Lonchura striata: one gene and its partner. The main gene of each other region encodes a partner of the protein of the gene in region 2 in a complex. Links are inferred from orthologs where the notes say so. Each region holds a gene or a part of one and is shown on either strand. Other genes may lie near its edges.

Region 1 (3,910 bases), on a different chromosome or scaffold from region 2:
AAACAGATGGGCTGTCCTGGCTTTAGTGAATTGTATGAACACTATCAAAACCAGAGCAAAAATAATTTTTTCCCTGAAAATCCAATGCTAATCACTCTGCTGTTTTCCAAACGGCATAATCCATCTTCTTTCTACTACCTTTCCTAAAGATCCAAGAGCATCAGTGACTTGGTTTTCACTATGTCACATTACAACTCTATTTCCATGAATGCTTTGCTTTTGAAAACACATGCCAGGAGACATCTCAATAGAAATTAACATTTTTGCTTAGTAGTTCCTTCATCTTGTTTTGTTCTCCTTTACTACCTTCAATTACATGCCACGACAAGAAACTTGCCTTGCTTGCTCACCCTATCACATTGCCACAATTTTTTATTACCAAAATTAGTCTAAAGGAATTTCCGCTAACTCAATACAATTACATTTGGATAGCCAGAAAATTAATTCACTGTAGTTAAGACAAGACATTCATATTGCTTCCAAAACTACTGCACACTTAAGATTTCCTTTTGCAAACACAGATCACTTCAGAGTGTTACTAGCAAAAACTAATTTGATAAGGGACACTACCTCCTATAATCCTTGAAAAATTTATACATCAACAAAAAAAATCCCTAGTACACAAGTCCAGGATGCTGGCAATTCCTTAAATATTTTCTGAGATTAATCAACACCACTGTTTTTAGCATTGCCTGTTATAGGCTACTGGGAAGCTATTATGACCCATGAGACAGATGCATGATGAAATCCCCTCAATAATTGTACAATTAGCCAAAATCACAAGAGACTGCATTCAGTAGCTTGGCATCCATTAAAGAACAACTTAGTCAATGAGAAAAGTACCCTTTTCTTCTTCCTCCTCTTCCTCTTCTTCATCTTCATCACTTTCCTCAGCTTTGTTTTCAGTTTCAGGTTGTTTCTCATCTGTTTTTTCTGATGACATTGTATCTTCTTTTGATGAATCAACAGAAGACATGGTGTATGCTCCTGTAGAAAGAGTCAGGGGAAACTATCATCAGTAGAACAACATCCATAAAAACCACGGGAATCTTGCTTTCAAAAATTATCTCTTTGTGCAGCAGAAGCAGCGTGCTGGTACTGTGATTGTTCACATTCTCTGATCACTAAGGTGTTTGGCATACACACAATACATACAACTTTTCAGAAGAAGTTGCCATCCATCCTGCAATTAGTCTGGTTAAGAACACTCTAAGAGGTTATAAATTCTATTCACACACAAGTCTCCAAGCTGCTTTTGTGAAGCATTCGGGAACACCCACTCAAAGCAGCCGAAACCGTTATCTATTAAAAACTGCAGTGTTTTAAGATATCACTGTTTTACTGCACCCTGCTATAAACTTAATACTTGATCATGGTTAACTATGCATACAAGTTTCCTAGTAACTTAAACAAATTACTTATTTAGACTGGAAATGGGAAAAGAAACATTTTTTAAAAAGCTGCAAGCAATTCAGGAAAGAATTAACACAGCTTTCATAACCTAGACAGCTGCTGCATCTTTAGGCATGAAAATACTTCCCGTTTTAATTTGCAAATCTACAACAAAAAAGAATAAATGCTTCATACTTAGCATGTATAAGAGTCTTTTCTTAATATCTGAAGTGGCCTATATGTAAGCTTTAAACTAAAATATCTTAGTTATACACGTACCATTTTCTACTAACAGAAAACACCTATCCAATAGAGTAAGATAACCATATGTTTCATTTTTAAATTCTAGCTTTCAAAAATTTTCACCTTTTAAATCTGGAACAGAATTTCACACAATTAACAATTTTCTTTTTGCAATATTAAAACAAATATTATCTGCAAGTAATCAGGTACTATAAGTAACACTTAAATCTGCTGCTTATGTGCAGCATTAGTAGGTGCCAGAGATCAGTCGTGTTCCAAATGACAGAAAGCATGAGGTAATATTTATTACAAATAATACGGGGAAAAGTAAAGTTTCCTGGCTAAATCACCAGTGAAAAATACACCCTCCAGGGTATTACTACCAACATTTTCATTTGTAGTAAGTAATCTAGCATTTTCACGGCAATTACTGACTTTTTGAAGGCACGAGTAAAAGCAAGAGAAGCACTACAAGTTGTCTTTCTTTACCCTTTCAGTGTGAACAGAGGGGGGGAAAATAAAGTTAGAGACTTCTTAGCTTTCCACCACCTGGGCTCGGGACGACATTTTGCTTAGGGAAAAAGGGTTCTGGGATCCACCCTTACCGGGAGAGGGTCTCCCGCCCTCGGCTGGGGCTTTTCACGCGGGGACTTTCCACCTATGCCCCCTTCCCGATTTGTAAGCTGGATGCTGGGGCAATCGGAGGGCGATGCGCAGCGCCCGGTGGCGCCGGCGGCCAAGGCGCCATCGGCTCCCCGCTGCAGCCGGGCCAGGACCGCTCGCAGCCCTCCCTCGGCTCCCGCCGCAGGACACGGCCGCACCCGGGAACCGCCTCGGGCACGGGCCGGGAGGGACGCAGCCCCGGTGACAAGCGCCCCGCACACGGCGCGTCCCCGGGGGCGGGACGGGAGCTCGGCGGCACGGCGGCCGCGTTTCATTTCTGCCCGTCACAGTCCGTCCCCGCTCGGCCCGGGCGCGGCGAGGCGGGACCGCTCTCGGGCGCCGTTACGGCCATGGCGGCAGGACCCACCTCAGCACGAGCCCCGGCTCCCTCCTCAGGCGTGGCGGCGGCAGCAGCTGAAGGCGGCAATTACTGCTGGACGAGGCGGGTCCGGGCGCAGCCACACACACGCGCCCCGCCGCGGCGCAGCCCTACAGCCAGCGGCCGCTCTTGCCCTTTCCCTCTCCTTCTCCCTCTTCCCTCCCTCCCGGAATCAACAAGGTTTTCAAAATGGCGGGTTCTCGGGCGGCGAGGAGGAAGCGGGAAGGCGGCAGCCAATCAGCGCCCGCGGCCCCGCCGGCGCGGGGAGGGCGGGGGAGGGTGCGCGTCACGCCCGCCCGCCCGCAATGACGCCAGGCCGCTGAGGGAGCGGGCCGCGGGTGTGAGCGGCGCGACGTTGCGTTTTCCCTTTTAACACTGGCGCTGTCTTTAATTGAGGTGGCTTAGAGAAAAAAAAAAAAAAAGCTTTAAAATAAGGAATCCGCACCACTTATCCTGCCTAAATTGGGCAGCGATTAATATATGCTCCCCAGACTTTCGTTTTGTACACTGTAGTGTTTCCCAGTACCTCTGGCACAGGTTGCCCGGAGAAGCTGTGGATGCCCCATCCCTGGAAGCGTTTAAGACCAGGTTGGATGGGGCTCTCAGCAACCTGGGCTAGTGGAAGATGTCCCTATCCGCAGCAGGTAGGCTGGGACTAGATGATCTCTAAGGTCCCTTTCAACCCAATCCGTTCTGGGTTCTTAAGTATTTAGTAGTGTTCGTCTTACACATATATCCTACTTTTACTACTAGTTCTACGTAACTACGCTTCACACGCGCCTGCGATGAACCATTCACAGGAGCGTGGCATCCTTCCCACTTCCTCTGTATTGCTCCAGCGCGGCTCCTCCCCGCGGGGCTGGAGCGAAGCGCCCGTTCCCTGCCGCGGTCCCGTGCGGGGGGTCCCTGCCGCGGTCCCGTGCGGGGGATCCCTGCAGCGGTCCCGTGCGGGGGGTCCCTGCCCGCGGTCCCGTGCGGGGGGTCCCTGCCGCGGTCCCGTGCGGGGGATCCCTGCAGCGGTCCCGTGCGGGGGGTCCCTGCCGCGGTCCCGTGCGGGGGGTCCCTGCCCGCGGTCCCGTGCGGGGGGTCCCTGCCCGCGGCCCCGCGGCGGCGGCACGGCCGGGCCCGCGCCGCTGCAACGGCCGCTCCCGGGCGTTGCGGCCAGCGGGCGGCAAGGGCTGAGGAGAGAGGTCGCCTCTTTGCTCTTGCAAAATGTAGGGTCTCAGGCGGTCC
Region 2 (3,910 bases):
GCTCCCACAGTTTACTCTCACTGTTCCACACCCCCTGTAATTTCCAGCTATGAACAAACTAAAGGAAGATCTGGCCCCAAAGCCAAGCCCTCTCTTCCTCCTGCCCCACCAAGCCCCAAGGCCACATGCTGTGCCCGTACCTCAGAGGTGATGTCAATGAGAGTTTTGCGTGGGAGATCTCTGAGGTGTGTCTGGTGATTTGTCAGCTGCTGGAGAAGCTGGATGCTCTCCAGCAGAGCTTTCCGGTCCTACAAAGGAAAGATAAGCCAAAACCAGAGGACATATATCAGCAATTAATCTGAAGGCTAAGGTAATAATCTACTCTTTAGATGTTTATGCCTACTTGTAATAAGAAACACAATTGTTTCTTGATTGGTCACTCAGCTTTTTCCAAAACTGTGTTTTCCAGATGGATATGACAACAGATCCTTTCCTTCCAGGAGAGGTAGGAGCCTCCTGCACTATTTGACACAGTTCCTACATTCTGCCCAGGAACAGACATTAAAAAGGCACAAAGAGTCCATGGATGACACAATAGAAATAAACAGAACTTGATGCTTCAAGTGCCACTGCATCGATTACCCAGTGACCCAGCCCTTCTCTGTCAATCTTCTTTCCATATCAGAAGCCCCAGAAGCAGAATTGGCACACCTGACAGTAGTGTTACCTTCACAAGCCGCCCAGACTGGAATAGAGCCATCACTCCAAAAAAGTTCCCAAAAGCAGCATTTCTCACAAGTTTCTGAAGGGAAAAAAAAAAAAGAAAATAGTAAAAATCTACTTTCCTGAGAGACTAAAGCTCACATGCAGCTACACAACTACACAATCAGTGGAGCAAGATGGCAGGAAAACCCAGCCTTGAACACCTCACCATGGGAAGAGAACATACTGAAAAGCAACCTGCTACATAATGTTTAAGAACTGTCCTACAGTACCTCTTCATCACACTGAAAAATCTCACCTAAAACAGGGCCAGATTACAATGTCATCAACTTGCAATTTTTAGAAATATTTGTTATTTTATTGTATTGCTTGCTTTAACACGAACCCCAAAGCTACACTATACACCAAGACGTCAAAGAATAGAGAACAATTCATTTAAAGTATCAGTTGGCAAATGTTGCCATGAGCTGACTTACTTTTTTCACTGTTTCCAGATTGTGTTTTTCTTTTATCTGTTCCAAAATGCTGCACAGTGGAATTTCCTCAAAAGCCTGCAAAACCTGAGGAGAGAGATGGAATAGCCGTTTGCAGTTCTTCTACTTCATGACATTACCTTGGGTTAAGCTAAAATAGAGCTGAAGAGGTGTACAGCACAGCAGCAGATGTGCTGCTTTATCAGGCCAGAATGAAGACAACCAGATCAGTAAAGAACAGGAAGTAGGCTGGGAGAGTTGGGCTTGTGCAGCTTGGAGAAGGCTCCAGGGAGGATTTTAGAGCTTCTCCCAGGGCCTAAATAGGCTCCAAGAGAGCTGCAAAGGGACTCTGGAGTCCCAGAGTCTCAGGAAAAGGAGGAATGACTTCACATTGACAAAATGCCAATTTAGGTTCAATGTTAGGAAGAAATCACTCCCTGTGAGGGCAGTGAGGCTCTGGCACAGGTTGCCCAGAGAAGCTGTGGCTGCCCCATCCCTGGAAATGTTCAGTGCGAGGCTGGATGGGACTTGGAGCAACCTGGTCTAGAGAAAGGGCAGATATCCACATCAACCAACCAAGAGCAAGACAGTTTCAAGAAGTAGTAATAGTGCTAAACACAGAATAACTGAAAACTTGGTCAAAATTTGTAAATCAAGGACAGTCCTTGAAGCAGAACTATGTAGTATGAATGTATTGGCATAATTCATTACTATAACTACAGTTCATAACTATAGATATTGGTATAGTTCATAACTTTATAAGTTTCTAAAGCAGAGTAGCACCATTTAAAACTACGGTTATTGTGAGAGCCTTCCCTCCCATGTGCACACAGGAGCAGCCAGAAGGGCTCCAGCCTTGCACAGACAGCAAAAGTGACCCCAAGCATGGACAGAGGCTGCCGACGGTTCCGACCCGCGCTTGGACACACTGACCTGCGCCAAGGCCAAGCTGAAGCCAGGGCGGGCGGCCTCGCGGGTGGCTCCCAGTCCCTCCACCAGCCGCTTCAGGGTGTACTTGAGTTCATCATCCTGCAAGAGAGACAGAGCTGGGCCGTGTCCGGGCTGCTCCGAGCGCGGCCCGGCCGCCAGACCGCCGCGCCCGGCCCGTGCCCCGTCCGCACTGCCGCGTTCCCAAGCGGGAGCGGAGGGACGAGCCACTGCCCGCCCGCACCCACCGCCCCTCCGGCGCCCGCCTCACCTTCTTGCCCTCCCGCAGGTGCCGCAGGAGGTTCTCAGTGGCCGCCAGCCGCACCTCCTGCTCCGGCTTAGCGATGTCCCAGAAGAAGTCGAGGAAGGCGCGGCCCTGCCGCAGCACCCCGCGGGGGTCGGTCACGGCCGCGCCGCCGCCCCGCGGCTCCAGCGGCTCCATCGGCTCCATCCCCGCCATGCCGCCGCCGCCGCACGTGGGGCCGCCCGCCCGCTCCGCCTCTTCCGGGGCAGCGGGACGGGCTCGGCCGCCGGGAGAGCTGCTCGCCTCAGTCCCCGCGGTACCTCAGTACCGCTCCCCGCATGGTCGCGCCTCAGCGCCTCCCGGTCCTTCAGCCCCGCTCCCCTCAGCGCCTCCGGGCCCTTCAGCCCCGCTCCCCTCAGCGCCTCATGATCCTTCAGCCCCGTTCCCCCTCAGCGCCTCAGGATCCTTCAGCCCCGCTCCCCTCAGCGCCTCATGATCCTTCAGCCCCGTTCCCCCTCAGCGCCTCAGGATCCTTCAGCCCCGCTCCCCTCAGCGCCTCATGATCCTTCAGCCCTGTTCCCCCTCAGCGCCTCATGATCCTTCAGCCCTGTTCCCCCTCAGCGCCTCATGATCCTTCAGCCCCGCTCCCCTCAGCACCTCATGGTCCTTCAGCCCCGCTCCCCTCAGCTCCTCATGGTCCTTCAGCCCCATTCCTCTCAGCACCTCATGGTCCTTCAGCCCCATTCCCCTCAGCTCCCCAGGATCCTTCAGCCCTGTTTCCCCTCAGCACCTCCCAGCCCTTCAGCTCTGCTCCCCTCAGTTCTTCTTGGCCCCTCCCGTGTCCCCTCACACCCCACTCCCCTCATGGCCACCTTTCCCACCCCGCTCCCTCAACCCCTCATCCCACAAAATTGGATTGCTTTCCCGGTGTGCTACAAGCCAGCCATGATACACTCAACGGACACATTGATTTTTCAGAGTTTGGTATTTTTTTTCAGAGATTGGTATTTCAGTGTTGCGTGAGCTGCGGTGCTCGGTTGTGCTCCACAAATCCAGCACACCCCACCGGGCTTTTCACACTATTTTTTATACTCAGTTCAGAGTTACTAACTTTCCAAGTACTCCCCATATATATGGGGATTGATTAGTAATTTACAAGTTGCATAACCTCAGCTAACTTGTAGACATTCCTCACAAGCTGAGGGGGTTTTCACAGGGTCCTTAGAATTATAACGAACATAGATCAGCTATGGGATACATGGTCCTGGAGCCTTCTGCTAAGTTAGCAAAGTATACGCAGATGTACACCAAAATCTGAATTTACTACATCCTTAATGCTCATTCGTTCCAGGATGTCCTTGAGTAAGGGATGCTAGCTGCTGCCTTCTCCACGGGTTTTTGCTGAAAGTATGCCAAGATCTTACATTAAGAACATTACTACTTAAGATAATCTTGACATATTCCTCATTTTTCAACAGCCCTGCTCCCCTCAGCGCCACGTTCCCTCCCTGGCACAACCCTGCTCCTCTGCAGGACTCATCAGTCCTCCTCTGCCCCAAGGGCTCCTGGGCTTCCCTCGCCCGGTTCGGGTTCTGGAGGGAGG

What was found.
Region 1: MYBBP1A (region 2) and DEK share a complex: the UniProt entries of both Homo sapiens proteins name them as parts of the B-WICH complex. The link is inferred for Lonchura striata from reciprocal best matches to the Homo sapiens genes MYBBP1A and DEK.

Annotation. Positions count from the first base shown.
Region 1 is NC_134603.1:88,784,762-88,788,671, reverse strand, and holds the start of DEK (protein DEK), read right to left. Parts: upstream 2,895-3,910; 5' UTR 2,666-2,894; intron 988-2,665; 5' UTR 977-987; coding exon 844-976; intron 1-843. UniProt on the Homo sapiens protein: Involved in chromatin organization.
Region 2 is NC_134622.1:4,151,613-4,155,522, reverse strand, and holds the start of MYBBP1A (myb-binding protein 1A), read right to left. Parts: upstream 2,540-3,910; 5' UTR 2,524-2,539; coding exon 2,335-2,523; intron 2,166-2,334; coding exon 2,070-2,165; intron 1,224-2,069; coding exon 1,140-1,223; intron 743-1,139; coding exon 668-742; intron 249-667; coding exon 141-248; intron 1-140. UniProt on the Homo sapiens protein: May activate or repress transcription via interactions with sequence specific DNA-binding proteins. Repression may be mediated at least in part by histone deacetylase activity (HDAC activity).